Kluyveromyces lactis: one gene and its partners. The main gene of each other region encodes a partner of the protein of the gene in region 4 in a complex. Links are inferred from orthologs where the notes say so. Each region holds a gene or a part of one and is shown on either strand. Other genes may lie near its edges.

Region 1 (6,460 bases), on a different chromosome or scaffold from region 4:
GACTTTGTAGCAGAATCTGGATGGGATGAGTTCAGAAAGGAAGAAACTAGGATATTCCAGGAAGCGGTAGACAAATACGGTGACAAGGGCTATGTGTTATCTTCTGGCGGTGGAATTGTTGAAAGATCAGAATCAAGACAGGCTTTGAAGAGGTTTGCCGAAAGCGGCGGTATCGTCCTACATCTTCACCGTGATATCGAAGAGACAATCGTTTTCCTAAAGAGCGACCCAACTAGACCAGCTTACATTGAAGAAATTCGCGATGTGTGGGAAAGAAGAGAAAAGTGGTACCATGAATGTTCGAACTTTACCTTCTTTGCGGCTCATTGCTCCAATGAAATTGAATTCAGGAATTTAAGACATGTGTTCAGCAACTTCATTCGTCGTGTACTTGGCGCTGAAAAGATTCCTGTACCTTCCAGGAGATCAGCTTTCGTCTGTTTGACTTTCGAAGACCTATCGGATCATTTGTCAAAATTGGATGAAATAACCTATGGTTGTGAAGCAGTAGAACTAAGAGTTGATCATTTATCATCCTTTTCTTCAGACTTTGTCACCAAACAAATCTCCTTGTTAAGAGCTGCAACCAAATCGCTACCTATTGTTTTCACTGTGAGAACAGTTAGCCAAGGAGGGAAATTCCAAGATGATGATTATGATTTACTTGAATCATTGTTGAAGGTCGCTCTGAAGAACGCTGTTGAATACATCGATTTAGAGTTGACATTGCCTAACAACATACTCTACAATGTTTTGAACAAGAAATCAAACACAAAGATTATTGGCTCCCATCATGATTTTGCAGCTAAATTCCCATGGGATGATGCTGAATGGGAAAATAGATATAACCAAGCTCTTTCTTTAGACGTGGACATTGTGAAGTTCGTTGGCACAGCAGTAAGCTTCGATGACAATTTGGCTTTGGAAAAATTCAGGTCCACTCATACTTTGAAGCCACTAATTGCTATCAATATGACTGAAACAGGTAAGCTATCCAGGGTGCTAAATAATATTTTGACACCTGTTACCTCCAAGTTACTACCATCCGCCGCTGCCCCTGGTCAATTGACACTAGCTGAAATCAACCAATTGTATCACCAAATCGGTGGATTACCAGCCAAGAAGTTCTTTGTTATTGGTTCTCCAATTGGACATTCCAGATCTCCGATCTTGCACAACACTGGGTATGAGCTACTAGGCTTACCTCATCATTTTGATAAATTCGAAACTGAAGATATCGAAGTAGTTAAGAAAGAACTTTTGACCAGAGAAGATCTCGGTGGCTTAGCTGTAACCATCCCATTAAAACTAGATATTATTGATAGTATGTTTGAATTGAGCGAAGCCGCAAAGACCATTGGCGCTGTAAACACTGTTATTCCTTTAGGAAAGAACAAATTCAGGGGTGACAATACTGATTGGTTAGGTATCAAAAACTCTTTGGTTTCAAATGGTGTTCCTAGTTCTGTTAGTGGTTCTGCAGGTCTGATTATCGGTGCTGGTGGTACTTCAAGAGCTGCTATATACGCTTTGAAACAAATTGGTTGTGACACCATTTATATGCTCAACAGAACCACGGAGAAACTACAAAAGCTGAAATCCGAATTTTCCGAAGAATATAAGATTGTTGTCGTCGAATCTGCCGAACAAACAGAGTCAATTAAGGAACAAGTTTCTGTTGCTGTTTCTTGTGTTCCAGCTGATAAGCCTTTAGATCCAGAGTTACTAAACAAATTGGAAAGACTTTTGGCAAAAGGTACAAATAGCTCCTTCAAACCAACCTTGTTAGATGCCGCATATAAGCCTTCAGTGACCCCTATCATGAAGCTCGCACGTGATAAGTTCAACTGGAATATCGTTCCGGGCGCTGAAATGTTGGTTCATCAAGGTGTGGAACAATTTTCTAAATGGACAGGTGCAAAACCACCATTTAAAGCTATCTTTGATGCAGTTACCCAAGAATAGATAAAACATTAGATACATTTAAACTTCAAATAACGTCACGAATGATTAATAATAGCTTTCTAACTCCCCTTTTTATGTATGTCTAATCCACTATTTGTTAATATTCCTTAAAGCATTATTAACTGTTGATAGGAAAAAATGAATCATGAATATATAATGAAACAAAGCACAATTCAATAGGAAACATCATTCGTATATTGAATTCTAGTAAGGTTCGTGTTTTTTAGAGGTTTCGATATAAGCCACACTTTGAGATTGAATGTCTGAATACGTAGGGGAAGGTCCTTACTCATCACCAACCTTCGGGAAATCACTTTCTCTTCGGGTTGATGGTGGATTTAATGCTGTTTCTATCAATCCATCTGGTAGAGATGTCGTATTAGCCAGTCGAAAGGGCCTTTATGTGGTAGACTTGGATGATCCTTTCTCAGAGCCTCGATGGTTACACCATCTCACGTCTTGGGAGGTTGCTGACGTGCAGTGGTGCCCGCATCCGGCCAAGCATCACTGGGTTATATCTACGTCGAATCAAAAAGCAATTGTATGGAATCTATCTAGAAGCTCTTCTAAAGCAGTGGAGCATGTATTACATGGCCATTTCAGAGCCATTACAGATATAAATTTCCACCCGTTGCAACCAGAAATCCTAGCTACTAGTTCAATTGATACTTACGCCCTGGCTTGGGATATGAGAAGCCCCAAGAAGCCTTATTTTAGAACCAGTAACTGGAGATCTGGTGCTGCACAAGTCAAATGGAATCACAAAAATTCCAATGTATTAGCAACCTCGCACTCGAATATCGTGTATGTTTGGGATGTAAGAAAGGGTACATCTCCGTTATCTGTATTAGAAGGTCATAGCGGAAGCGTTAATAGCATCGACTTCAATCCATTCAACGAAACCGAAATCATGTCAAGTGGGAATGACGGAACGGTAAAGTTCTGGGATTATAATAAAGTTGAAGATGAACTACAGATGACAATTACCACAGAGTTTCCTGTGTGGAGAGGACGATATCTCCCGTTTGGGGACGGATATTGCATCATGCCGATGATAGGAGGAAATAATTCTGTATATTTGGCGAACTCTTTTCATGACTCAGGCAATTCTGAGTCAAGGACTACCAAACTACAGCCAACGTACGTTTTCAAGGGGCATACAGATAGAGTCACGGACTTCTTATGGAGATCGAGGCACAGTCAAAATACCATCATTGATGACAGAGAATTCCAATTGGTTACTTGGTCCAAAGATTGCGATTTAAGACTATGGCCAGTACCCGATATGGTTTACGACAAAGTTCACTACGAATGTGGCAAAGAGCTGCCGGAGAAGCTACCAGATTATGATTACGACACTTTTAGATCAGAACCTGAAAATAATATAGTAGATCCCCGGTACACAAATATAGAAATTCCGAAGGAAACCTTTGTTACAAAATCCGGACTACGCCAATGGAAAGCTGACAACAATATAGATCAACTACAATGGATTTCGGGTGTGAGAATGCATAACGAAGATTCACCGCATGATCTATTTGAAGAGGTGAGTTTAAACAATCTTGGAGAAGAAGTCACTTCCGTTGGGCACAAGTTCCCTAGAATTGTTTTTGAAAAAATTTCGGTTTCGACAGGAGAGTTAATTATTACTTTAAATGGTCCATGGGTGGAAGAAGATCCAGAAAAATACATTTTCATGCGTATTATTATTAACTTCCCGCCAAACTACCCCATGAAAGGAAATGAACCTGCGTTCAAGATTGAAGAGAACAGGGAATTAAAAGAACATCAAAAAACTCAGATAATGGAACGACTAAGAGAAATCAGCAAAAAATATGTCGATGCAAATCGATATTGCCTTGAGCCGTGTTTACAGTACCTACTTGGAGAAGAAGTTAACTTGGATATTTCCGACATGGAGGACGACAATAAAATTTTCAGCTTTGATTTCGAAGATGTAACTTCTTTAGATAGATCATCTTTGGGTTCATCTGATGATCATAGCGATGCTCCTACAGAGATTTCTTCTGTATCAGATGTTGAATTCGCTGTCGGGGATGGTTCTTTGCAATTGTATTCTAGTACACCAGAACCAAAATTTGATAGCACACCTGTCCCCAACGGTTGTGGAGCAGTTTGGACCGCTCAAGGAACCCTTGTTTGCTTCTTTAGAGCTGAGAATAAAACTGAAAAAAAGCAACACGCCATAATCAATGTTGGTAGAACTGGTATTGGAGGTTTTGTGAGATCAAAAAATGTCCAGAGTGCGTCACAAACTTTGAAGGATAACGTATCGGGAAAACAAAGAAAGCCAAAAACTTATAGAGAAGCGCTATCCATAAACTCACAACATGCCAGTGAATCACTAAATCAATCATCAGATTCGGATTCAGATGATAGTGATGATAGCTATGCTGAGTTCTTGGATGATATATTGAAAAATGATCTCACACTAAGGACTAGGATGCCAATGATGCCACGCATATTCCGTGATGAGACGAAATCTACTACGAGTGTATCCGGAAAAACCACCGATTCAAATAAAAAAAGCAAGTCATCTATAGTCGTTCAAGATTTTAAAAGTTTGATTCCCGACAAAAAAGAGCTAGCTGAACAGTATATTTTATTTCGGGAAACTCCTGAATTTGTTGCGAAGTACAATGCAGGCATTGCGGAAAGTTACGGCTATGAAGATATCGCGCAATGCTGGAGAATGATTTCTAATGTTTTAATAGGAAGAGGAGATAACGATTTCTACAATTATGATTGGGACCAGCATTCATTGGGTGGTAAACTTTTAGTGAAAAGACTATTCGAGTATTTTGAGAAGTGCCAAAATCTTCAAATGCTTGCAATGATGAGCTGCATCTTTGCTACGCTTGGAAGGCCAGATCAGAAAACAAATTATAAACTAGTTCCGCCTACTTTATCAGAAAACATCATTACATTTTATAACAATGAATACGAGCCATCGCCACATGTTCATTCCACTCACGGATCGTTCTACTCTAATGACACAGGTACACAAAATGCGAGAATGAGATATGGCACCAATCAAGCCTCATTGAACGATGGCTCTTCTATCATATCTGATGATTATTTCCATCAAAATCATCATGCTAACGGAAACAAGAACGGGAAATCCCATAATAATATGAACAATGGGTATGTAGAAACTGAAGCGACAATTCCCGATATCAAGATCAAACTAATTCATGACGATGTTTTGGATCTTGCCTACCAAGGTCTGGAACCTTCGTTGGTAGATCCGAAATGTGAAACCAAGTTCAGACAATATAGAACGCAATATGCAGAGATACTTTATATATGGGGGTTGCCTATGGATAGGGCCGAGTTGTTGAAGTTTAATGTAAATTTAAACACAGAACCTGAATACTTGCATGGGATCGAACAAGATTCGGGATTGGATATTTACAAAGGTGTATCGAATAGGTGGATTGAATCTAACCACGGACACACTCAACAAAACTGTAGCTACTGTGGCCTCAAAGCCGGTAGATTGGTGTTCGTATGCGGTAATTGTCAGCACGTGACTCACAGGACTTGCGCAGAAAAATGGTGGAAAATTGGCGATGAGTGCCCCTCTGGGTGTAGTTGCGACTGTATAAAGAACTTCGATGTCAGCGAACCACTTATATAAAATGCATCTTATGTAGCAGTGTCTTATCGTTCATCTTCTTTTAACCATCAGTCGTTGATACACCTTCTTTCCTGGGTTTTAATGATATTTAAACGAGATGATAAACCTTCCGGAATTCTGAAAGAACTAGAAAACCAAATAGATGGTGATGATGATGCGACACAAGCGAAAAATTCCAGGCTACAGGAACCGTTCCCGTCCATTAGCACTGATTTACGTATACTAGTAGCTATTGAGTACCAATAATTTCAAAACCAGCATGTCTTCGTCAAAGGTAGCAGTGGTCACTGGTACAAACAGTAATTTAGGTTTGAATATCGTATATCGGTTGATTGAGAGAAGCGAGCCAGAGGACAACCTCACGATAGTTGTGACATCAAGAACATTACCTAGGGTTCGTGAATGCATTGATTTAATTAAGGCTTTTGTCAATACCATTAATAGGACTGGCTCTGTAGATTATGATTACCTGCTGGTTGATTTTACCAACATGATCAGCATTCTTGATGCCCACTACAGCTTGTCAAAAAGATACGATCACATCAATTACTTCTTTGTGAATGCAGCTCAAGGAGTTTACTCAGGGATTGACTGGTTGGGTGCAGTGAAAGAGGTCTTCTCCAGTCCACTGGAGGCCGTCACAAACCCAACATATAAAATTCAACGAGTGGGAGTCAAATCAAAGGACGGGATGGGGCTTGTGTTCCAGGCAAACGTGTTTGGACCATATTATCTAATTCAAAAACTGCTTCCGTTACTCCAGGCTGGACAAGGTACTGTCGTTTGGGTCTCTAGTATCATGTCCGCTCCTAAATATTTGTCTTTACAAGATAT
Region 2 (6,562 bases), on a different chromosome or scaffold from region 4:
AGAAAATTTACCGATATCTGCGATGCCATTATCCTAGAAAATACTTTCCTGTCCATTCGCAAAGTTATCCCATACGTTTTCCCAATGCTGAAGAATGTGGCATTCATGTGTCATGAAGTCTGGGATTCTGAACAGGAAATTGTCAACATACAAGATGATACTTTACCTTTCTTGTTTCTTGCTGGTTTAAGAGATGAGATTGTCCCACCCCCTCATATGAAATTATTGTATAAACTATGTCCCTCGAGCTGCAAAAGATTTATTGAGTTCCCTATCGGTTCCCATAACGACACGATAATACAAGATGGGTATTGGGTTGTCGTTAAAGAGTTCTTACAAAAACATAACTTGATATAGAAAAGATCCGAATTAACAGGAAATTGACTTCAGAATAAGATTGCTGGGCATCCCAATGGGCATACATCCATGTTTTCGTCAAAAAACCATTTTTTCAAACACTCGAAGTGACCCTCATGCCCACAGTTAAGCATAGAAATAGCCAAGCTCTTCATTGGTTTATTGCAGAAGCAACAGAGAGTATTGCGCTTAGAACATGAATCGCAGTACCAGTATCCAAACCTGGACATAGCACTTGAATTTCCTTCAAGTCTTTCTTTGATTATTTTCTCCTTGGAAGATTCGTTAACTAAAGGTTTATTGCATTTATCACAGAATAACTGAATGGAGGAAAAGCCAGCACTTGAACTAGAAATATCCTCGTAAGGACAGTTTTTCATCAACTCCGCTGCAATCTCAAATAGCTCGTACCGGTGCAATAATTCGGTAAATTCCGCTATAGAATTCTTAACTGTCTCTGTATCAACAAGTTGAAACATATCTTGAAATAATAACAAAATTGCCATCGTTAGTAGGATATTTCCTGAAGCAACACTCTGTTCGTATAATTGATGAATTAATCGCCTTGATGACCAAGGTGGGGTAATAGTATTTTCCAGTTTTTTAGTTTCATTCATAAGAGCAGTAATACCAGACATTTGAGTTGTAGTTTTTGCAACGCTCCCGTTCCATGATTTTTGAGTAGCAAATTCAGATTCCAATATATCTGATACTTCAGTTGCGCTTTTCAATTTATTATGATTCGCGTTTTGCGATTTCTTGCTATTCAAAAATGTGGCAGCCGAAGAGCTAAAGCTTGGCATGGAAGATTTTTTGCTACCAGTACTTTCCCTATCAGCATCAACATTTGACGATCCTGGAGAACGTAATTGTGACATGAAGGAGTCTATAAAAGATGTCCGCGGCCGACGTGGCTGGTGATGGTTTTCCGGATTTGAAGGAATTTCGCTTTGTGAGGAAACATGAGAAGGACTCGGCATGAGAGCGCTAGGCCCTGATTCCCTTCTTGGGATATTAATGAATTGTTTATTGTTTTCATCTTCTTCGAACGCCCTTTTTGTAAGTTCCTCTCTTTCTTCTCCTTCTTCCTCTTCATCAATTGCTAGTTCTGCTCTATCTCCATGAGATTGACGCAGCTTTCTAATTTCGATGATATCGTTCTGTAACGAATTTTGAATCGAGTCAGCCCTCGATATAGTCGTAGTTTCTTTTGAACCTTGAAGTTGAGCCTTTAAATGTGATACTGGAGGAGTTTGGGTTAGATGAGTGGGTTCGTTGAAAGAATGTCTATTATTTGTATTTACCGAGGAGCTCAGATCCGTAGCACTATATGAACTGTAGCCACTAGCAACAGATGCTTGCCTTGCCTCTTTCAAGCTAGTAAAACTGTCATTTTTTTTCCAAGGTTGGTCAATGGACGATTGATCGTTGACTTCTTGGTCAGCTGTCACGTCAACAGCCATTGACTCGGTTAGGACTTTCAAGTCCCATAATAATGAATCCCGCATTAGAAGCCAAATTTTGTAGTTTGAAAAGTCCTCAAGCATGATATAAATTTCAGCGTTCTTATCACATAGAGTTATCAGTTCGATGAGGTTTTTGGTTTTTACCTGGTTTGAAGAGTTGATGCAGGAACTGTTCTCATCCTGATTGGTTTCAGCTTTATGATTCGTAGCTGATTTTTCGATATTAGCACTTTTGTCAGAAACTGGTGTTTTAAGCTCTGTGCCTTTCGATATGACTTCGTCAGAGTCGTGAGATTTCGTATATTTGATCAAATGAGTCCAAGTATTATTTTCAGATAACCCCAACTTTTCCATCAAATTCGTTTTAGAATCCACTGAGCCATGTGTGCTCGATGAATCAAGCTCTCGGCCGTTGTCTTTTGTTTCAATACTGTTATATTTATACGAAAACTTCAATTCCCGTGCTAAAAACTTGAAAACTTCAGTTGGAGATGACTTTAATTCTAATAAAGCTGCACTTTCGACCTTTCTGTTAAATTCTGCGAGCCTAGTGTTCCGTATTGTGTTCAAAATATGCGGAAAGTCTAATCCTATCAAATATGGAGATTGTAGAAAGGAATCATTAACCGCATGTAATGCCGATTCCGATCCTGACACGATTGAGTTATGATGAGGGGACGAATACGGATTGGTCCACGGCGAGCTGTTAACCGAAGGCGAAAATTTGCTGTTAACGGATTGTGCATGCTTTGACATAGTTGACCTTTCACCTAATACGTTGCCCTGGTGAAGTTGAGACATGCCAAGTGTCGGGTTTTTTGAGAAACTTGCGGCACTGCTACTTGTGTTGCTTGTAATGTTAGGATTATTTCCTCCAGTAAAACTGTTAGCAGTTGCACTACTCATTCTGTGTGTGAAAGGCATCTTGCGATTCTCTCCACTACCTGGTGTCAAAACTGTCTCTTCTTGAGACAAATACCCACCTGGTTTTTGGTCCAAAAACAGAATACCATCGCCATCCAAATCTCTCCATTTTATTGTGTTTTTCGGCAAATTATCAAGTACAGTCGGTTCATGAGAGATATCCCACCCAGTAACGGTATTTTGCTTGTCTATATTGAATATCGTGTCGTCATCCCACCAGACAAAACCAACAGAAGGTGCACTGGAAGCAATAACGTTTTTAGGAATATATTTTCTTGCTAGCGAATAAACAGATACATCCGAATCTTCGCCCATGGATGAAGTCCCAATCAATGAATTGAATACATTCGTCTCATATTTTGGACGAAACTTAAGTTTATTCATGGAACGAGCGGTATTTATTGTGAGCTCAGGAAATGCAAGGGTGTTGGATAGCCCCAAGGGGTATGATGATGATAAATTATGCGTTGCTGGATTACTTGAATTGAGGTTGGTACTACTAATGTTACCAACTTGATTAGATTTGTCGCCTACATACCACAAGCAACATTTTCCGTCTCTTCCACCACTAATAATGTAGTCCTGATGCGGATGCCAATTCAAACATAAGGCGGGACCAGAATGTGCATTAATCTTTTTTTCAGCTTGGTTTGGTTGTCTCAAATCAAACTTCAATAATAATCCAGAGTCATGCACACTGGCAAATTTGAAATGTCTGTTTGAAAGACCATTGGTATCATTAGAAAACTCGTAAGAAGGCATCCATTTTACGTCTCTAATGGAATCAGACCCGGTGTTGATACTTACATCACTCCTAGTGGTGGAGATTTTAGGAGATCTCAAATCCCAAATCTTTATGCATCCATCTTGTCCACCGCTAATTAATAAGCTTGTCTGCACCATATTGAAATCCACACTATTGATAGATCTTGTATGTTCTGAGAGAGATGTTACAACTGGATTGTCTATCGCTGATGTCTTATTAATATCGTAAATCGCAACAGACGTTGAAGTACCACAAATTGCTACATAGTTTTTGTGATTGTAAAAGCCAGCTTTAACATCAGATATGGTTGAAATTTTTTTTGTTGTTCTCCGTAGTGTCGATGAAGTGTTCTTCGTGATCCCAGTATTTGTCTTCGCTGTCTGTAAGAAATCATGTACATTAGTTATCGTCTTAGAATCTTCATCGAAAGTGTAAATACCTAAATGGCTTTTTCCTGCTATTATCAAGGATCTGCTCTCCGGTGAATTGATTTTATCTATACTTGAGACTTCCTTTCCGATACTCAGAGAGTATTTAGCGCCGTGGAAAGTTCTACGTTTGTCAAATGAACTTTCAGAAGGTCTCCATCTTGCATTTGATTCTTCTTCATTAAGAGAGCTCTCTGGTCCAACATTTCCCGTACCATCAAAACTGAAGGGAGTGCGGCTATCTGGTTTATACTTAGGTGATATCCTAAAAGGTGAAGTTCCAAAACCTGTGTTGTACTGTCGATGAAAAGAGTATCGTGAACTTGACGACTGATATTTCAGAGAGGGAGGATTTTCTGGTTGCTGCCCTTGAGAAGACGAAGTAGCTCTGTTTGAACCTCTTTTAAACATCGTTGAGCAACAATACTCAGTGCTCTCGATCACCGGTTTATTTGGCTTACAACCAATTGCTGGATTTTTGAATCATAGTATGTGAGTGCTTTCATATTTTCAATTACATATTGCCATCTCTTCCTTTTTTTCTTGTTGAGTAAATATATGAGGAATCAGGAATCATCTTCGGTGATTGATAAGTGAGAGCCCGATAAAACAACACAAGAGTAAATAGAAGTATTAAGATATCACAGGGCTGGGAGACAGAAATGCCTTGTTATTAAAATTCTTCTGAAATAATTACAAATTTAATGCCATTGAGACACTTGTAAAATGATACGTAATGAGAAAGTTAATAGGTTTTACACAGTGAAATTATATGAAGGAGAGCGATTCAAGCGCACACTCGAACAGAGAAATCGGGAGGCTTCAGTAGATTATGTGAACAGTTGAGCTCATTGTAAATTTCTTTGTTTGTAGAAGTATACCTGTATGGTCCATTGCCTATTGCTTGTCAATAGAATACAATGCGTCAACCTGTTCAGGAGTTTTGTTCTTAGTTTCCTTCAATAAGAAAGTGAAGAACCAGAATGAGACAAATAGACAACCAGCAAAAACGAACCCAAACTTGAAGCCTATCTTATCAGTGACATATGGTGTGCATAAAGAAATGAAGAAGTTGCAAAGCCAATTGATTGAGGTACACACTGCCATGGATATCGCTTTTGTCCTGCTTGGAAACAACTCCGAAATGACGACAAAGGACACAGGTCCCGATGTGCATGCAAAGAACATGATGTAAACACACGTGAAGGTAACCATAATCGCACCAGAGTTTTGAGGCGACTTATTAAGTGCGAACGATCCGACTGACGCATACACGGACATACAGGTAAACATACCCGCGGAACCAAGAATTAAGCATGCTTTTCTGCCTAACTTTTCAACTAAATAAATACCGAAAAAGGTAGATATGAAGTTGACAGAAGACAATAAAATCGACGTTAAGTATGGGTCTTCAATTCCCACAGAGTTGAAAAGTGTTGTACCATAATAGAAGAAGTAATTTGCACCGGATAGCTGTTGAAACGCCATCACCATAATACCAATAAATAGTCTAAAACCTAATCTTGGTTGACCGAGTATGAATTCAAACCTGCTGTTCTTCATATCATTGTGAGTAGATACCTCCGCGTCAGCTGATTCCATCATCTTCCTAATATGACTATCCACAATTGGATCATCTACGTCCAAATTGTTCATATGGGCAAAAGCTGCCTTAGCTTTGAGAGCGCTTCCTAACCTCTTGGTAAGAAAAACTGGTGATTCAGGCATAAAATGAACACCTAGCGCGACGATAGCGGCCCAGACGTTTCCTAATCCTACAGGGATCTTCCATGTGGCATTATCTGTTTCGTGTAAAGTGGATCTGCAACAATAGTTGATGACATTTCCGAGCAAAATTCCAAGAGTGATCATTAACTGGTAGAGCACAACCATGGCACCACGAATGTTGATGGGAGCAGATTCGGCTATAAACATTGGTATCATCACCGCAGTAGCACCAACACCAAGTCCTGAAATGAACCTTGCGAAGAAGAAATACCACCAAGAGGAGCCACATGTCCAGCCAATCAATGTTCCCAACGAATAGATAGTGATTGCAGCATAAATACCTGGTTTTCTTCCATTAATATCAGCAATCTTCACTAGAAATAATCCACCAAGTGCGCAACTGATATTGAAAATGGAAACGATTAATCCAATAAGAAGTTTTGGAAAGTAGTGTGTATTACTCGAAGAATCAAAGTTGGTACCAAAAAAGTTTTGAAATGATACCATGTTTGTAATCCCACCAATTGTGCCAACATCCCAGCCAAAGATAAACCCTGCAAAAGAAGTAGCCAGACACAATAATATTGGTTTCAACGGTAACTTTTTCTGTTCAATTCCACCTGACTTAGTGTCATTCTGAGATAACTGACTGGTTAATGATCCAATGGCTGAGTAATTTGTCAAAGATACCATTTCCTTTGTGACTACCTCAATTGCTTTTTCAGCAGTTTCAAATGATTCTGTATCTAAGGACATTTCAATTGTTGATGTATGACAGCTAGATCCTTGAAGTTTTGTTATCGACACTGGGTGATTTTGTAAGTTTAAACTTATTAGGCGTTTCTAAATGAGACCTTTGATCATTCTTGAAGACGAGAATACGTTATTCAAGT
Region 3 (6,554 bases), on a different chromosome or scaffold from region 4:
CCACGTTAGTGGATGTCGCAGCCAGTGGGTCCTTCTTTCACTTGAAGGCTACCAATAATAGACCTTCAATAGTCACTATACGGTCTGTATGGTCTGTACGGGTGTATATGGCACGATCAATATCGTACCATATTCTGTCCTGCTCTGTTCTGGTAGTCTGCGTAAACTCTGCCAATTATGTTCTTCTATATCCAGTTCTGTCGCATGTCGGCTAGATTATTTGTCCTAAGTTTCGAATGGCTGGCTGTTCCTTGGCTTCTAATCCCCATATAGAATTTAATCGGTCAAGATGGAACCGAGCAGTTCCGATTGATCAGACCGTATCGATGCAACAACAGGTGATGTTGAATTCTGAATTCTGTCAAAGAATCACAATCTATCTCGATTTCCCTTCTTTCTTTTTTTTCAGCTTAGTTTAGATATGGGCATCGAGGTTCCCCTAAATTTTGTTTGCCAGCTAGACATAGCACTGGATTCTTATACTGTCTAAAGCTCACCACGGGCCTGGAGAAACCGTTAAAGGATGCCCCCACAAAGTTATAGGGTAGAACTATGAAAGTGATGGGGTTAGGTTTTTGAAAAGAAATGAAATTAGAACTTATATAAGGGGATGGATTTTAGTATATTTTCCAATTCTCTTGTTGAGATCGTAATAATTGTCGTTCTTCCAATCACATTTAGTTACATAAATCACCATCAGCTATCATACTGAATAACAAGCAATCAAGCTAAAAAGAATATCAATATTAATTAAAAAATGTCCATTCCTGAAACTCAAAAGGGTGTTATCTTTTACGAAAACGGTGGTGAATTGCAATACAAGGACATTCCAGTTCCAAAGCCAAAGGCCAACGAACTTTTGATCAACGTCAAGTACTCCGGTGTCTGTCACACCGATTTGCACGCATGGAAGGGTGACTGGCCTTTGCCAACCAAATTGCCATTAGTTGGTGGTCACGAAGGTGCTGGTGTCGTTGTTGCTATGGGTGAAAATGTCAAGGGCTGGAACATTGGTGACTTTGCTGGTATCAAATGGTTGAACGGTTCTTGTATGTCCTGTGAATACTGTGAATTGTCCAATGAATCCAACTGTCCCGATGCTGACTTGTCTGGTTACACCCACGATGGTTCTTTCCAACAATATGCTACCGCTGATGCCGTTCAAGCTGCTAGAATTCCAAAGGGTACCGATTTGGCTGAAGTTGCTCCAATTCTATGTGCCGGTGTTACCGTTTACAAGGCTCTAAAATCTGCTGACTTGAAGGCCGGTGACTGGGTTGCCATTTCCGGTGCCTGTGGTGGTCTAGGTTCTTTGGCTATCCAATACGCCAAGGCTATGGGTTACAGAGTCTTGGGTATTGATACCGGTGCTGAAAAGGCTAAGTTGTTCAAGGAGCTAGGTGGTGAATACTTCGTCGATTATGCCGTCTCTAAGGATTTGATTAAAGAAATTGTTGACGCTACTAACGGTGGTGCCCACGGTGTCATTAACGTCTCTGTCTCCGAATTTGCTATAGAACAATCCACCAATTACGTTAGATCAAACGGTACCGTTGTATTGGTCGGTCTACCAAGGGACGCCAAATGTAAGTCTGATGTCTTTACACAAGTTGTCAAATCGGTCTCCATTGTTGGTTCTTACGTCGGTAACAGAGCTGACACCAGAGAAGCTCTAGATTTCTTCGCAAGAGGTTTAGTGCATGCTCCAATTAAGATAGTCGGATTATCTGAATTGGCAGATGTTTATGACAAGATGGTCAAGGGTGAAATCGTTGGTAGATACGTTGTCGACACCTCAAAATAATTTTACTTCAATATGGTTCGATAATGAATCCGGTTTTCTTCTCTCGCTCTGAATCCCTTCATACATAATTGATTTCAATAGCACTATATTTTACGTTTAATGAAACTTTCAAGAATAATAGTAGTAACATCAGGACCTTTTGAGATGTTCTAGTATCGATTACGCGATCCTACTTTCTTAGCAGACAATATTTTAATCTCTGTTTGTTCTTATCTAATTTTGAAAGTTAAAACTGCAGGAACATACACCACACGACAAATTAAAAGCCCTCAAATACATTCAGCAACGTTTGAGTTTTACTGTTCCAAAAACTTAAGCATATACGACACCCCGATATTAACAAACCAAAGGAGATTTCGTAGTGTCTACTTGTGCTGTCTCTCCAGTCATATATAGTTTCCCTTATTATTATAGAAATATCTACACATGAAAAATATGAAAATACGATAGTCATTTTACTTGATTAACTGATAAAACACCTAATATACAAAAGTACTGGGGTATAACTGCTAATTCGAAAGAATCTTTCCCTCAATCTAAGAGTTCAGCAGTCTATGAAGCTCCAAGAGATAGGAATAGCTCAATGTCCACGAATTTACCGAATTCCTGCTTAGTACAAATCGCATTAACTGTTTCAACTCATTCGGGTCCACAATTAATTTATCATTATCCACCAAGCAACTATGCTACTGCGACCAATTCGAAGAAGACGCATCACCCAGATATCAAGAAAAGATACGAGTATACGGACTCTGAAAACAATTCGTCTTCAGATGACTACTCTTCAGGTTTGAGTGATAGCGAGTTGTCGACTGACTATGCAGATTGTTCATCTGATGCATCAGAATCATCGTTAGACTCCCTTCCACAATCAAATCATGAGGATACTGTAAACAGCAGTACAAACAATACATTTATCAATAATGGTCTACGATCTCGTCAATCTCAGATTAGTGCGAATAAACTCTTTCAAGTGCTAAATCAGAATAATAACAATGTTGCAATCAATGGCGAAAACTCGTTGAGGGAATCGTTGCACTCGATTAGAACATCGACTAATATGTCTAGTACGACTGATCCGAGACCAGAAGATGAATTGGATGCAGTAGATGAAGAGTTGAAAATCTTGGTAGACGATTTGCTAGATGGTTCAATATTTCAGCAGGATACATTTCAGGATATCTCAAAAGTACTAAATTTCAATACAGAATTTGTAGCTGAACTCTGTTCTCCAAGAAAGGAGATGTGTAACACCAGATTTGAATTCACTGTGGATGACTTATGTTTCTTAGGGTTGCCAATTCACGCGGATCACAAAGGAAGATGGAAGAAATCAAAGAAGAGAAAGCAAGCTTCCAAACGTTCGGCTAGAAGTAGCACTGCACGAAACAGTATTAGTAGAAATAGTGTTGGTCGAAATAGTATTGGTCGAAACAGATCTAAAACAGAGAGTCAAGGACACATTAATGATGTTGAAGAACCTGCAGATGATGAGAATAGTGATTATGAACCATCCAAATCAGAAATGCTTAATGAAATGTACTGTGTGCCTGATGCGGAAAATGATGAATTCGAAAGTTTGCAGCAGAGTATAAACATGTTCCAGGTCTGCTTCATCATGAACCCAAAGATCATAGAATATAATGAAAGAGTCGATGATATGTATCATTACGTGGTGACTAGATTATCATTGATTTTAAGGTACATACAAGGAAAAACCGGTTATGTCACTAGGGAATGCGTGAAAATTATGAAGTGTAAGGACGAAGTTTCTAAACACTCTCGATATTATGAGTCTTTAAAATCTCCCTGGTCTAAAGGAAAATATATGTATGAAAGAATTCTTTACGAATCGTCACTAGCTAGAGCGTTAACAAAATGTTTCAATTGCATCCATAACAATGAAATTGCTAATCTTGAAATTGATGGTGATAAAATTGTTTCCTTGCAGATTCCAATCAAAAATGAATTTTCCATTCTTCCAAATTTAAAAGAAGATGCTGTTCTTCGTGGATCTTTCTTATCCTCAATACTAAACGAAAGTTTTATTGGTAGAAGCACTAGCTTGACAAACGAAGATTCAGATAATTTGTATGCCAACCACGACAGGCTTCTAGATTATGGATTGCTTTTGCTCGATGAACCTGAAAATATTATAAAAGGGCTTGAAAACGCTTCCTTTGATAACGGCGTTACTGATTTACTTTTGATCAACCTTGTAAGACAGTTGAAGCCCACTATAAGGCTTGGTCAATATAAATTATTAATTAAAGAGCTAATCGATTCTAATGATTCCTCATATGATGATCAATTCTGTGAAACTACTTTAAAGTCGTTATGTCTACATTTAATATACTGGCGTCACGCCCGTTTGATACTGCCAATATCATCGAGAAACACATATATAGTTTCTCCATTGGCGCCAATCTCAGGATTTTCAACTGATGACTTCAAACATGGCGAATACGACACCTTAATAAGACAACAAGAAGTTCCTGTGAATAACAACGATGAACCGTCGTTGATATACCAAAACAAGAAGGTATTCAATGAAAAATTTCCCTCCTTACCTTCTTTGCCATCGTTCCTTCAACTTATGTCAACCCAGAAACCCAGACCTTTCGGGCATATCATACCATCCAATGAACATAAATCTATGTATTTGAATGCCCTGGCATGGCTCATGAGGTACGGATACCTCACTCAATTATTGACGTTTGTGTATGTACGTGTGGACAAGCGCATTAAAATAGCTGTCGATGAGGATCTAGAAAAGGATAACTTAAGATCGAACAAACACGAAAAGTCCGGTAATTTTGTTACTGGAGGTGAAAATTATAACTCCAGTGAGTTTGATGATTTGGAGATGATCAACGATAATGATTTCACTATAATTCTTGAACCAGAACGTAATACTGCATTAGAAAAGAGATGGTTGTACAAATGTGCTGAGGCATTACCTACTGATCTTCAAACGCTATTTAGACAAGTGGTGAAATACTTTAATGGGAAGGTTTCTTTGGAGTACATTATGATTAAGGAAGGTATTCCTAAAAATGAGATAAAAAGATTGCTTCAGGCCTTAGGTAAGTACATCGTTGAAGTAAAACACTGGTAAATGCCCTATCCCCTTACATTGTTATTCTTCTAATCGATTCTACGCACAGGATTTTGTCAATGCATAATAATTAAGTACTATATAATAAGCCATTTTTGGAGTTGCATAACTTTATGTCATAACTAATCAATTCACTGTGTTTTATATTTTTTGTTTTGCATGTTGTAACCATAACAGTTTGTAATTCCGGAGAAGCTCGAACAGAAAACATATCTATATATATATGCCATGCATGTAAAGTTTAAGATGATATCTTAAGTTTATTTATCTAAAAGAGAAGGACATGTACAAATGAAACGCCACTGGGGAACATATTATAAGACGGTGCCGAGTATATGCCCTGTGGTTGACTAAAAAGAAGGTGAAAAAGAGTTAATCACTAGGAGGGCCTAAGATAGTGCAATGATTACGCTAAAAAAAAGTAGAAAGAAAATGACATATTCAATAGTCGAGGTCTGCTTTATCATGTCCAGAGACAGAATTATCCAAATAGTTCATACCGCCAGGGTGTTCGTGTGGGAATGGATTAGTAAATGTCGGTGTAGGAGGTGGCATAGGGAAGTAATAAAAGAATGGGGAATGTTGAGAAGGTGGACACTGTCCCGTCAAGTGAGCGCCCGGCTGAATCAAGTGAGAGGGCGGAGGGCCAACGGGGCTACCAGAAGGTGGACAGTACTCCATTGGGTAGTACACTGGCGGGCCGTAGTAGAAATTTGGATCCATCCTACCATGCCTTGGTGCATCTACATTTCTTCGCTTCTTGTAACTATGATTCTTTTGATAAGAACCAGTGTTATGCGCATTGTTATGTTTGAACGTTCCAGTGCCTGCGCTGAAAGTTGTGAATGATGAGTTGGACTCGTGTTCTAAGAAATGTGTGTCCTCTGCATCATTGTCTTCATCGACTTCATATTCATCATCTTCTTCTTCAATTGTGCTATTTTCGATATCGTCTTTTGACCTATTGAAGTGGGTACTATGCATTTGCTGAGGACCTTCTAGATAAGCATTTTCTTTTTCAACTCCATTGTCTGTTTTGTTGGGATAATTTTTGCTTTCTGTGCCATAAACATACTGGTTACCATTTTCATTATAAAAACCTTGTGAACCAGTATTGCCAACGAAAACATGATTATGGTTGTGGTAGGATGATGAGCCTGAGTTTATAGTATTTCTCCTTGGTTCTTGTATCGTAGCATACACATAATGAGATGGCAGATTTGGTTGTAAATGATTTGGTAATGGATACATGTATTTTGAAAAAGACCCTGTACTTGCTCTCCTTCCTATATTCAAAGGCGGAGGTGCCAAGTTCAACTGAGGCCCCTGGAATGACTTATTGGAATCAATTGAACTACGCCTTGAATTAGATACCTCTCTGATCTGCACATGCAGTATTTTCTCCACGAATATTGAATGATTCTCTCTTTCCAACGCTTTTGCAGCTGATGCCGGAGTCTTGTACTTGATAAAGGCAAAGCATTTCAATTGTTCCTGCTTGTGGATCAAGTTGCAATTGTCGATTTCTCCATATTTTGAAAACCTTTCCAAAAGTAATGGTTTAGTAACTTTAAAATTCAATTGTCCTATGAATATGGACTTGTTATCGATGAAAATTGGTTGCTTACCGAA
Region 4 (4,654 bases):
TACAAAGACCAATTACATTATTGCACGCCAACCTGGTTAAGTATATCCTTCTGGAATGATTCTTCCAGAGCTAATGTTGAATGGCGACCCAGATGTAAAATATACAACGTTTTAATGATGGGATTAACTGAAACTGAACTAAAAGAGGAAATTGCCTTACAATCCATAAAAATAAACGACAAATGCAACTCTGTATCAGATTTTATGGAATCTTACGATTCTGCTGCTTTCGAAGTTCAGAGTGGCCCTTACTCAATGCATATGGATGCTGCTCTTGCTGCGGAGTTCCGCTCTTCTAAAGAGAGTAAGAATGATTGGAATAGACGTACAGTATCGAAGTCCAAGGGGAATACTAACCACATTGATACTATCACATGGATGAAACCAAAATCCACTAATGCTGTCCTTCAACCAGCTTTCAAAGAGAAGGTGTTCGCTCAGCTATCTTCATCTCCGAACTCTAATTTACCACGAACTGAATTTGAATACAAGAACCAAATGACGGCGACGAATTCTTTGGCATTAAATACTTTAAAAAGATTAAGTCATGCAAATTCCGGTGTGACACAGAAGATAATCTCTAAACTATTCCCAGATTTGGCGATTAAAAAGAGTCAATCGTCCCTCCGCCAAAAAGCTAATATACAACCTACTGATTTGACTGGTTCTTCATCATCTTTGAGTGATACAGGATCTCAGTATAAAAGGTCCCCAAATCCAAAGCTTTTGCACAAGCAGAAACAATTGTTCGATGATAACAAAAAAGAAGCTTCATGCGGAACATCTATACTGAGTTCACAGTCTTCTGGTAACCAAAGAGTACAAGATAAAAATTTCTTACTAAGTGAGACTTCTCTCAAGACATCCAAACCAAATAACAAGCCTAAAAATGGAATAAAAGGTGATAGTTGGATTGAAATAGAAAATCCATCCGTTCCTGTTGACGCAGAACTTGCTAGCTACCTCATTCCCAACCGTTGGAAGGATGTTTTCCCGAAATATGTTGCCAAGAAGTACACCAAGTGGCGGTCTTTTACAACCCCAGCAGAACTTCCGTTGACCACAAGCATGTTCCCAACACCATTCGATTTTGAGCACCAATTTTCCTTGAGAAATCACACTGTTTCCTTGAATATTGAACAGGAAGGATATCAGCAAAGTGTGTTTGACCTATTACAAAATATGATTTACGTGAGATTGTTGGCAGGCTTTCAATTTTGCTTGGGAAAGAACGTAACAAGAGTAGAGAAGGCCAGAGATAAAGATACAGACGGATCTAGGATTACACATTTAATCAATAAAGAGAATTATAGGGATGTTAGCATTTATTTGAGAATTGATAACGAAATTCACCGAATTGTCTGTTTTGACGAGACTATTGATGTTCAAAAATATATAAAACATGACGATTCTAAACTGTTGCAGAGTTTTGCAAAATACACACCTTATGTTAAAACAAGGTACGAGGTAGAATATAGAGAGTTGGATTTGGATCCAGTGAAAACTAGAAGGGAAAGCTATAATTGGAATCAGATTGATCAAGTCCTAGCAGGTTTTAATGATACTATCATGGATCCAGCTACGCAGAAACGATTCAGATGCAAATTCGTTATTCTTCCGGCGGAGATCCCACCCAACACATTTCAATCAACAATTAATGGCAGGAAAGAGACTTTGACTGCAGAAGAAATCAGGTTAGAAGGTTTAAGGAAGATCATTTCTTCCATTTCGAGATCCAGATTGAGAACTGAACATGAGAAAAAAGACAAAAGGTCACATAAGGAAGAAATTCTGCCCGAAGTACTTTTCTATACTGGCTACCTCTTTGACTTCATAGAAGAACACAATGATTTTCTAAAGAATTCGGGAGCTGCTGTTAAGAATTCAATTTTCATGGAAGATGCTGAAACTTTGTCTAAAGATGCTGATCTAACGAAAATAGCTTACGAACTCCAACATGGTGTATATCAAATCAAATTAGTCAACAGAAAATGGCATTGGAAACGGCATGAAAACTGTTTCATCGGACTTGAATTGGTAAACTGGTTGATAGAACATTTCTCCGACGTTCATACGAGGGAAGATGCTGTGGTGTATGGACAAGAATTAATGAATAAAGGTCTTTTCCATCACGTTGAGAGTAGGCACGGTTTTCTAGATGGGCATTATTTTTATCAGTTAAATCCCGAATTTACCACAGAAAACAAAACTCTTTATAAGACTTCCACAAAGCATAGCAATGAAAGTCATTTGATGAGAAAGATTTCGACAAGTAATAAATCCGAGTCTGCAAAATCTATAGACCCCACGATTTCTGTTGAGAGTAATCAACAATCAGAAGACCAAATAACCAAACCTGAAGAACATAGTATTACCGTGTTACTAAGTAATGCAGTCACTGTGGATTTGGATCCAAGTAGAAAGTCGTATAAACTTGAAACCTGCATAGCTCATTATGACAGAGTGCATAATCCAGATCATTGCTTCCACATCCGTTTGGAATGGTTAACAGCCACTCCAAAGCTAATTGACGACTTGATTAGCAACTGGTCAAGGTTGGCAGAAAGATATGGGTTGAAACTAGTTGAAATTCCGTGGGATGAACTTTGTAACATACCGAAAATCAACCCCTTCCATTCGTTTATGAACATCAAGCTGGCTATAAACCCATGGCAAGATTTGGAATTCAAAGACGAGACTATTTTCCGTGAACAAAAATTTTTCTACCACATCTATCTCTTGGAAAAGTCAGGTTTCCTTCTTGACAACAGAGCTTCGAAATTCTTCCAATCGGAGAAAACAAACAGCTATCAAATCATATATTCGTGGGGGAAGCCGATGTTCAAATATGCACAATATATCCATTATACTGGATCATGTATGGCTGAAATTAGAGAAAGTGGAGATTTCTTTTTGGCTCCGAACAACCTTCACATTTCTAGAATGAACACTGGTAATATAGGTAGTAAGGCATCATCGCATCTTAAATTCACTTCAGATGCCCAAAAGATCATGTTGAATTTTAGGAAAACCTGTGAAAATTACGAATCGCTAAGAGATATCTTCTTAGAGGCTAAAGAAAAGCATATCGATAATAGGGTTGATTTGGACGAGTATACTTCGTTCCAGTCATTTAATCTATATACGTAGTTTTGTATATTCAAAAGACTTACAATCTTTCTGCAATCTTGATAACGTCAGCCAAGACACCTGCAGCAGTGACGTCGGCACCTGCACCTGCACCTTGAACGACCAATGGGTTGGTATAACGTTCAGTTTGGATTGAAATGACATTGTCAGATCCCTTCAATGAAGCGAATGGATGAGAGTAATCGTACTTTTCAATACCAACAGAAACGACATTTGAAGGGAAGTCAACCTTTCCGACAAATCTTAAAACTTTGTTTTCCTTAGCGGCTTCTTCTTTCAATTGCTTGAGTTCATGGTCGTAGTCTGGTAGCTTTTGCAAGAATTCATCGGATGATTTGACAGATTCAAGGGCAGATGGAATTAAAGATTGCACAGGGAAAGAAGTTGGAGATTCAACCTTAAATCCAGCAATTCTTGCCAAAATAGTGACCTTTCTTGCGACATCTAAACCATTCAAATCATCTCTTGGATCAGGTTCTGTGTACCCCAGTTCCTTTGCTACTTTAACAACGCTAGAGAAACCGACATCGTTTGGAGTAGAAGTAGAAAATTCGTTGAAGATGTAAGATAAGGTACCAGAGAAGATACCTTCGATTTTCACAACTTTGTCACCGGTTTGGATCATGTCTCTCAACGGACCAATGATTGGCAAGCCAGCACCAACAGTTGCTTCGTGGTAAACTAAACCATTAGATGGTTTAGCAGAAAAGATGTTGTTCCATAATTCCAAGTTCGAAGAAAATGCCTTCTTGTTTGGAGTGGCAATTGAAATACCGCTTTCAATGAACTTTGGGTAAAAGTTGGCAATCTCTTCATTGGAGGTATTATCGACCAAAATGGTTGGCAGTGGGGATTTTTGCAAGAATTCAAAAATTTCAGGGACAGAAATTGGGTTACCTGCTTCAGCATTAACAGTTTCCTCCCAAGAAGAAGCGTCTAGCTTCAATGGAGAGTAATCTTTAGAAACTAGGGCATTAGAGTATTTAGCAACCAAAATCACATTGTAAGTAATTTGGGATTTGATAGAAAGCAGTTGCTTCAAGAAAGATGAACCGACGACACCAGTACCTGTGGATGGTTAGTAAAAACGTAATCTATTGGCTTGTTGAACCCATAGCATTGTGATATTATAGCCAGAACGACTAACAATTTCTGAGTATGAAATTCTTTACGGTGGATCTTTACTCAAACATACCAATGACAGCAACGTTGACGGCTTTGGAAGACATATTGAACGCTGTTGATAGATCTATTATTGATTTGATAGTCCAATGGTGATTGACTAGATGGGAGGGGTGATTGATATTCAAACCTCGATATGGTGGTGATTTTTTAAGCGTGAATCATTAATGCTCGATGCATTTTTGCAGCATAAACTGTGGCATCAATGAGGGTAACGAATAAACAAAAGTAAGCTGGTAAGAGAAATCATGTCTCTTCAGTCTAACTGTATACATATGGGGTTTAGCAGAAGACATTGGCTTCAGTGCTTCATATGTTGCAT
Region 5 (6,410 bases), on a different chromosome or scaffold from region 4:
AGTTAATATACATATATATATATATATATATATATATATGTTCCTTAGTTCTACAATGCGCTATGTAACGATAATGTGTTTTTATAATATGCAAATTCATGCTTCTTATTAATTGTTGCTTGGCACATCACTTTTAATCACAAAATGTCATAAAACCGTTACAAATGAAAGAAAAAGCAGTAATATAAAAGGATAACTAGACGCCTTGATCAACTTTTCAAAGATGCTAACCCTAATATTGTTCAATGAGTGTCGATCATATCTACGGACGCTTGCAGAGTCAGTTCTTAAGTCAAATTAACATTCAATCATATCACGTGATATATACTCCGAAAACCATAACAAAGAAAAAAGATAAATGAATCGGCCTATATGTTGAAAACGATCCAATTAGATGTGATGACATGCCTCTTTTCACCGAAGAAGCTCATTTTGGATACGATAGGCTGTAATATAGTTGGGATAAACTAATGCAAACTCAAGAGGACGGCGTTAGGCTTCGAGAAGAAGTTAGTTTTAAGCATTTCTATCCGGATTTAGACGTAAATGACCTTGTCCTTTTTGGGAAAAATAATCATGATGAGTTGAATGATCGTCATCGCCACGATGAAGAAGAAGTGTATCCTGACGATAATTTGCGAGAACATTTGAAGTCATGGAAACAATTGATCGTAAACGATAGCATAACAATCGAAATGCTAGGACCTCAAATCAAGAACGCAGAGTTCAAGCGCTGTAAGATTCGGATATCACAGCTAAATCCTCATGGCAAGGTTAATAAACAGTTGGTAAAATACGGATACAGATCTCATGCAGATCGTACTTGCGGATTAGATCAAAAGTCATACTGTAAGAAGACTGATCTATTGATGAAGCATAGCAATGAGTTTTTTGCTGATGTTTCGCCATACCAGGTTAATTTTAAGGTAGAGTATGATATGGATGAGCAAGATGACTTATTCCTTCGGCACTTAAATACGGCACTGACAAATTCTAAGCATAAGTTATCACACGAAGTTTTCGAAATAGTTATTACGATATTAGAGAACGAAGCTTTCCATTTAGAGAAGAAAATTCCACCAAGAGTATCACCTAGTGCTACTAATAATACGCATGAATCTCATGCTGCCTGGAAGCATCATGAGTTATACGGATCAGACGACGGTACTGGATACCCAATGGATCAACCGTGTGCAGTATGTGGAGGCATAGAATGTGATAATTCGAATGCGATAGTATTTTGCGATGGTTGCGATATCGCCGTACATCAGGAATGCTATGGTGTAGTTTTCATTCCAGAAGGTCAGTGGCTTTGCCGAAGATGCATGATATCCAAAAATAGAAAGCTCGAGTGTCTCTTTTGTCCCAGTACCACTGGAGCTTTCAAACAAACGGATAACGGATCGTGGGGCCATGTGTTATGTGGAATTTGGATACCAGAGCTTTATTTCGGAAATCTACACTATATGGAGCCGATTGGAGGAATAGAGAATATCCCGAAAAGTCGATGGAAGCTCACATGTTATATTTGCAAACAAGAGGTCGGTGCTTGCATCCAATGCTCGAATAAGAACTGTTTTGCAGCGTATCACACTACGTGCGCTAAAAGAGCTGGATTATACATGAACTTCAATGGATGTACAGTTCAAGAGGCTGCCTCAAAAAACTTTTCCACAGGTGCTTTCCTGGAAAGTTTTTGTCACAAACATTCTCCTAACGGCTGGAGTAGCTGTGAAGACGGAATTCGTAAAACTAGGGATTATTTTAATCACATTAATCATCACAAGGTGCTACAAGACAGTGCCGTGGAAGAAAACAAGCAATCTGCCAAGAAAACCATTAAGAATAAATGGAAAACCAGTAGGGGAACTTTAATTGCACCTCAAGCCTTCGCAGATATTACAATGAGAGTTTTAAACAGATTTCATGTTCCAAATTCCGAGCAAATTTCGTTGGATATATGCAAGTACTGGACAATGAAAAGAGAACTCAAAAGAGGCGCTCCTTTGGTAAGAAAGTTCAGCCCATCTTCTTTGAATACTCTAGATACCGAAGAGCTAAATGACAGAATCGTATTCTCAGAAGTTCTTTTGAGAGACCTCAATTCATTGGAAGGTCTTGCATCATCTTTGGTGGCTAAACAAGAATGTAATGTTGAAAGGGTAAGAAACCAAAGGATCATAAACGACATTGCGTTCCATCCGATAAGGTATATATTGAAGGATGTTGTGTGGAACAATCTCACAAAGACTTTATCTTTTAAATCTTTTGCAGACCTCGAATCATCTTCAAATTTCAAGGTCATACCTTACATTAGCTCCAGGCTTGAAAATGATGAATACTTATCTGTCCAAGAATTCAAGGATGAATTTGTTGGAAATATAGTGAAAATAACATCCAATGAGAGGTCACCGAGATCACTGGTAATAATGGGATCTAAGCTCATCAACGATCTTAACAAACTTTTATCTAAGATTGATGAGTTAGATGTACATACTTTATTACATGACGATTTCGATATAGATGAGAGAACACATCAAGTAGAAGAGGTTAATTGGAAGGGCCGGAAAATACTTGCACGCGAAGGACTAGCTGATGTTGAAGATTTATCGATCAAACAGGAAAGACAATTGAAAGGACTACTACGTGACTGAATTATCCATCAAGTTTTCGTTCACTCAGTACTTAACTCTCCTGTTCCTATGTACATATATCCGGGTAATAAAACTATATACGGTAAATTATTTCAAGATAACTTCAGAATGAGTGATAAGATGCATCAAATAATATTACGGTATTCAATGTAGTAAAGCATCTGTCGAGGCCAATCCACCAGTATTACTTCATGGGCTTGATTAAACGCGTTCCTTGTTGGCCAAATGTGGAAGGGTTGGATTTTTTGTCTGTTAATCCTACAAGAGATGAAGTTTCTCATTACCGAGTGAAGCTGGATGTGGAGACAGACGAGTCCATCGTTAAGGTGAATACAGTAAAGGACTTTGGAAATATAACATGTCTAGATTACTCTAATACAGATGAAGGTATAGTAGGTGTCGGTGAGAAAAGCGGTGTTGTACGGTTATTTAATATTTTGGATACGGACGATGCATACGAGCCGTTCGATCTACGAGTACGAGCAAAGCACCAGCGAACTATCAACAGTTTGAGTATAAATACAAATGGCCTAATAGCCATGGGTTTAGATCGCAATAAGCATGATGCCTCTGTACAGGTGTGGGATGTAAACTACCAAAGCACGGAATCAAATGTTATCACACCATCTTTTTCATATTGTTTGAACGAAAGTATCGTGTCATTGAAATTTGTCGACGATACCAGCATCTTAGCTGCAAGTTCAAAACTCTTGAAAGAAATTGACCTTAGAGCTCCTAATCCTATATACCAGCATCCAACTCGTGTCTCATATGACATCAAGATAAATCCTTTTAACCCTTGGCAATTCTCAACATATGCTGACGATGGTACGTTGGCCTTTTGGGATAGAAGAAAGCTAGCAAGTAACTCTGAAGACACTGAGTTTTTGGAGGCACAACCATTACTTAAATTTGACAAACTTGTTGGTCATGGTGCAGCTTCTAGAAAATATATGAATTCATGTTTCAGATGGTCTCCATTGAGAAGTGGAGAGTTTTCGACATTACACGCAGGCACTACAATTAAACGCTGGAGATTGGCCAACGTACCAGATTTAGAGTCGAATAACGAACTAAATGATTCCTTGTTCGTTTCCACGGTGAATGACATTAAAACGACTTTTGATCGTGTTGTTACCTTCGATTATATACCCAAGAGTACTGGCAGAACAAGTCTTCTATGCATGAGACAATCCGGAACTATCTATCGGATGAATGTCGAACAAGGATTTTCACAATCGAAAATCAATAACTACAATAGCATAATGTCTATCTCAGATCAAAACAATGATGTCAACGAATTGAGAATAACAGGTGAGGATGAAGTTTCATTGCTGGAAAATTTAGATACCGGGCTAAAAAACTTGTCTTTCGAAGACCTGGATACAGGAGATGACTTGAAGATATTAACTCTGGATGAAAAAAAATCATCCGGAAGTATGGAAGATGACGGCGATTACTTGAGTGATTCTGAAGACGTTAAAGAGTTTTACATCGAGGCAGAGAAGCTGTTACAGAATGATATAAGTTTTATAATGCGTAAACGCGCGAGTCTGGGATATGGTCTTGATCCAATGAAAACTGTCGAAATGATGGATAAATCCGATAACTTCAATAACAATATCTACATTCGCAATACTTGGAGATGGATGGCGATAGCGAAGGCATCCATAGCTGACGGAACAATGGTTTCAGGAGACTTAGATTTAGGCTACGAAGGCGTTTTAGGGATATGGAATGGTCTTGAAGGTCTCTCCAATCAGAATCGTTATAGATCTGGAGGAATGCTCACAGAAAAGCAGTTAAACAAGGAATTGGAGAAGATCATTAAGATGAGAAGCAAGAGTAAAAACAAAATTGGGAATGTTTCCAGTTTAAATTCCGAAATGTCATCAAAAAAGGCCATTCAGAGAAGACTCTGTATGATTATTAGTGGCTGGGATTTGTCTCCTTCAGATTACGAAGAAAAATATAAATCACTAATAGCTCAAAATCACTATGAGAAAGCTGCTGCCTGGGCTGTCTTCTTCGGTGACGTTCAGAAAGCTATATCTATTTTGGGATCTGCAAATAAAGAACGTCTTAGACTCATTGCTGCGGCCATTGCAGGTTATCAAGCTTATAGTGAAAAGCCAGGTGACAATGCATGGAGACAGCAATGTAGAAAAATGGCTGCTGAGCTTGATGATCCCTATTTGAGAGTCATTTTTGCATTCATTGCAGACAATGATTGGTGGGATATCCTGTATGAGAGCGCTATCTCTCTAAGGGAAAGGCTTGGTGTTGCTCTTAGATTTCTAAATGACACAGATCTAACCAGATTTTTAGAAAAAACTGCTACTACTGTTATTGAAAATGGTGAACTAGAAGGATTGATCTTGACTGGTATAACGCCTAATGGTATTGATCTTCTACAATCGTACGTTGGAAAGACTAGTGATATTCAAACTGCTGCACTAATTTCAGTTTTCGGCTCCCCAAGATACTTCATGGACCCAAGAGTTGATGAATGGGTTGAAACATATCGCCATATGTTAAATTCCTGGGAATTTTTCACTATGAGGGCCAAGTTCGATGTGCTCAAGACAAAATTATCTAGGACTAGTGATGGTCGAATTACAGCGAAGTTAAAACCTCGTCAAATGTATTTACAATGTTCCAAATGTAAGAAGAATATCAACAGACCCATTGATGTGTCTTCTAATGCATCCCTACCAAGACATGCTAATCAAAACTTAAATGCAGGAAAGAAATTCGGCCTCAATAATACAAACGGTGATGTCCCCCAACAGAAACATTCATGTCCACATTGTGGCACGCCTTTCCCAAGATGTGCTATTTGTCTCTTGCCATTGGGTACTTCAAATCTCCCCATAGTCATCAATGGCACCACCAACTCATGTGAAGTACGAATCGATGACGACGCGAAAATTAACGAGGTCAAGGAAAGAAAGCGTTTGAAAATGAACGAATGGTTCAGTTTCTGTCTCAAGTGTAATCATGGTATGCATGCCGGTCATGCAGAGGAATGGTTTGAAAGACATTCAATTTGTCCTGTTCCTGGGTGTTCGTGTTTATGCCATCAATGAAACACTCTACCAATATTTCGGACCTAAACGCTCTAGGATAAATCATTAAACTTGTTATTCAGCGTATATAATCTCTTTAATCCTTAACCTCGCCAAAAACTCATTTCTCCCACTATTAGTACATACAAATATCTCATATGCAGATATCAAGCGGCTGAACGTTGCTTTCAGAATGAATCATTACGCATCCACAAAATAATGATACTAGCAACGCAGTACCATACTTGGAAAACTTCCCCGAGCATATTCATCGAGTTATAGGATGGACCGTGGTTCAGCGATGGAACTTAAAGCCATCTTTTCCATCATTGCCCACCGTCATTCGCATGAGCGCAAGCCTCTTCACGTGACTAGTTAAGATTCCCCGATCAGTTGAAATGCGTGAGCTCTATTTCAGGAAATCATGTGGCGAAACTAAGAAAATAAAAAGTTTGATCTATCCAGATACAAACAAATATATGGTTTTTTTTGATCTCAACAATATCTTTAAGGATACCAAAAACTAAAGGAAAGAACGACTATAAACAACGGTTTATTAAGTCAGTTTAGTTGGGACTTTTTTTTTCGTTGAATATTTCTCTTACAAACATTTTTTTCTCAGTGGTTTGGGATCTTAAAATATTGGTATTCTGGGCGAACACAGCTTGAAATTGTTTCAGATCAGATC

Evidence for each region.
Region 1: the proteins of IML1 (region 4) and MTC5 are in contact, whole or in part, in a cryo-EM structure (PDB 8ADL), measured with the Saccharomyces cerevisiae proteins. The link is inferred for Kluyveromyces lactis from reciprocal best matches to the Saccharomyces cerevisiae genes IML1 and MTC5. Residues at the interface, in NP_012672.1 of Saccharomyces cerevisiae: Phe292, Gln298, Asp336, Met379, Glu380, Arg382, Lys383, Leu386, Asn387, Tyr394, Ser395, Val396, Ala397, Gln526, Met527, Met528, Gly529, Ile530, Thr531, Asn533, Glu534; in NP_010413.3 of Saccharomyces cerevisiae: His64, Pro67, Trp68, Asn90, Gln91, Lys92, Ile94, Asn104, Ala105, Ile106, Val109, His111, Ser114, Arg115, Asp136, Tyr138, Arg149, Ser153, Thr154, Trp157, Arg158, Arg188, Lys189, Gly190, Ser191, Thr192.
Region 2: IML1 (region 4) and RTC1 share a complex: the UniProt entries of both Saccharomyces cerevisiae proteins name them as parts of the SEA complex. The link is inferred for Kluyveromyces lactis from reciprocal best matches to the Saccharomyces cerevisiae genes IML1 and RTC1.
Region 3: IML1 (region 4) and NPR3 share a complex: the UniProt entries of both Saccharomyces cerevisiae proteins name them as parts of the SEA complex. The link is inferred for Kluyveromyces lactis from reciprocal best matches to the Saccharomyces cerevisiae genes IML1 and NPR3.
Region 5: IML1 (region 4) and SEA4 share a complex: the UniProt entries of both Saccharomyces cerevisiae proteins name them as parts of the SEA complex. The link is inferred for Kluyveromyces lactis from reciprocal best matches to the Saccharomyces cerevisiae genes IML1 and SEA4.

What each region holds. Positions count from the first base shown.
Region 1 is NC_006042.1:1,824,604-1,831,063, forward strand, and holds MTC5 (Mtc5p), read left to right. Parts: upstream 1-2,224; coding exon 2,225-5,626; downstream 5,627-6,460. Other genes in the region: ARO1 (pentafunctional protein ARO1p), read left to right, coding at 1-1,965; ERG27 (3-keto-steroid reductase), read left to right, coding at 5,886-6,460. UniProt on the Saccharomyces cerevisiae protein: Component of the SEA complex which coats the vacuolar membrane and is involved in intracellular trafficking, autophagy, response to nitrogen starvation, and amino acid biogenesis. May be involved in telomere capping.
Region 2 is NC_006041.1:1,870,017-1,876,578, reverse strand, and holds RTC1 (Rtc1p), read right to left. Parts: upstream 4,353-6,562; coding exon 387-4,352; downstream 1-386. Other genes in the region: KLLA0_E20989g (uncharacterized protein), read left to right, coding at 1-357; KLLA0_E20945g (sugar porter family MFS transporter), read right to left, coding at 4,839-6,425. UniProt on the Saccharomyces cerevisiae protein: Component of the SEA complex which coats the vacuolar membrane and is involved in intracellular trafficking, autophagy, response to nitrogen starvation, and amino acid biogenesis. May be involved in a process influencing telomere capping.
Region 3 is NC_006042.1:1,678,667-1,685,220, reverse strand, and holds NPR3 (Npr3p), read left to right. Parts: upstream 1-2,387; coding exon 2,388-4,922; downstream 4,923-6,554. Other genes in the region: KLLA0_F18260g (zinc-dependent alcohol dehydrogenase), read left to right, coding at 758-1,804; KLLA0_F18216g (uncharacterized protein), read right to left, coding at 5,364-6,554. UniProt on the Saccharomyces cerevisiae protein: Component of the SEA complex which coats the vacuolar membrane and is involved in intracellular trafficking, autophagy, response to nitrogen starvation, and amino acid biogenesis. Mediates inactivation of the TORC1 complex in response to amino acid starvation.
Region 4 is NC_006038.1:350,691-355,344, reverse strand, and holds the end of IML1 (GTPase-activating protein IML1), read left to right. Parts: coding exon 1-3,150; downstream 3,151-4,654. Other genes in the region: HOM6 (homoserine dehydrogenase), read right to left, coding at 3,170-4,218, 4,346-4,379. UniProt on the Saccharomyces cerevisiae protein: Component of the SEA complex which coats the vacuolar membrane and is involved in intracellular trafficking, autophagy, response to nitrogen starvation, and amino acid biogenesis.
Region 5 is NC_006041.1:581,268-587,677, reverse strand, and holds SEA4 (Sea4p), read left to right. Parts: upstream 1-2,845; coding exon 2,846-5,743; downstream 5,744-6,410. Other genes in the region: NTO1 (Nto1p), read left to right, coding at 471-2,654. UniProt on the Saccharomyces cerevisiae protein: Component of the SEA complex which coats the vacuolar membrane and is involved in intracellular trafficking, autophagy, response to nitrogen starvation, and amino acid biogenesis.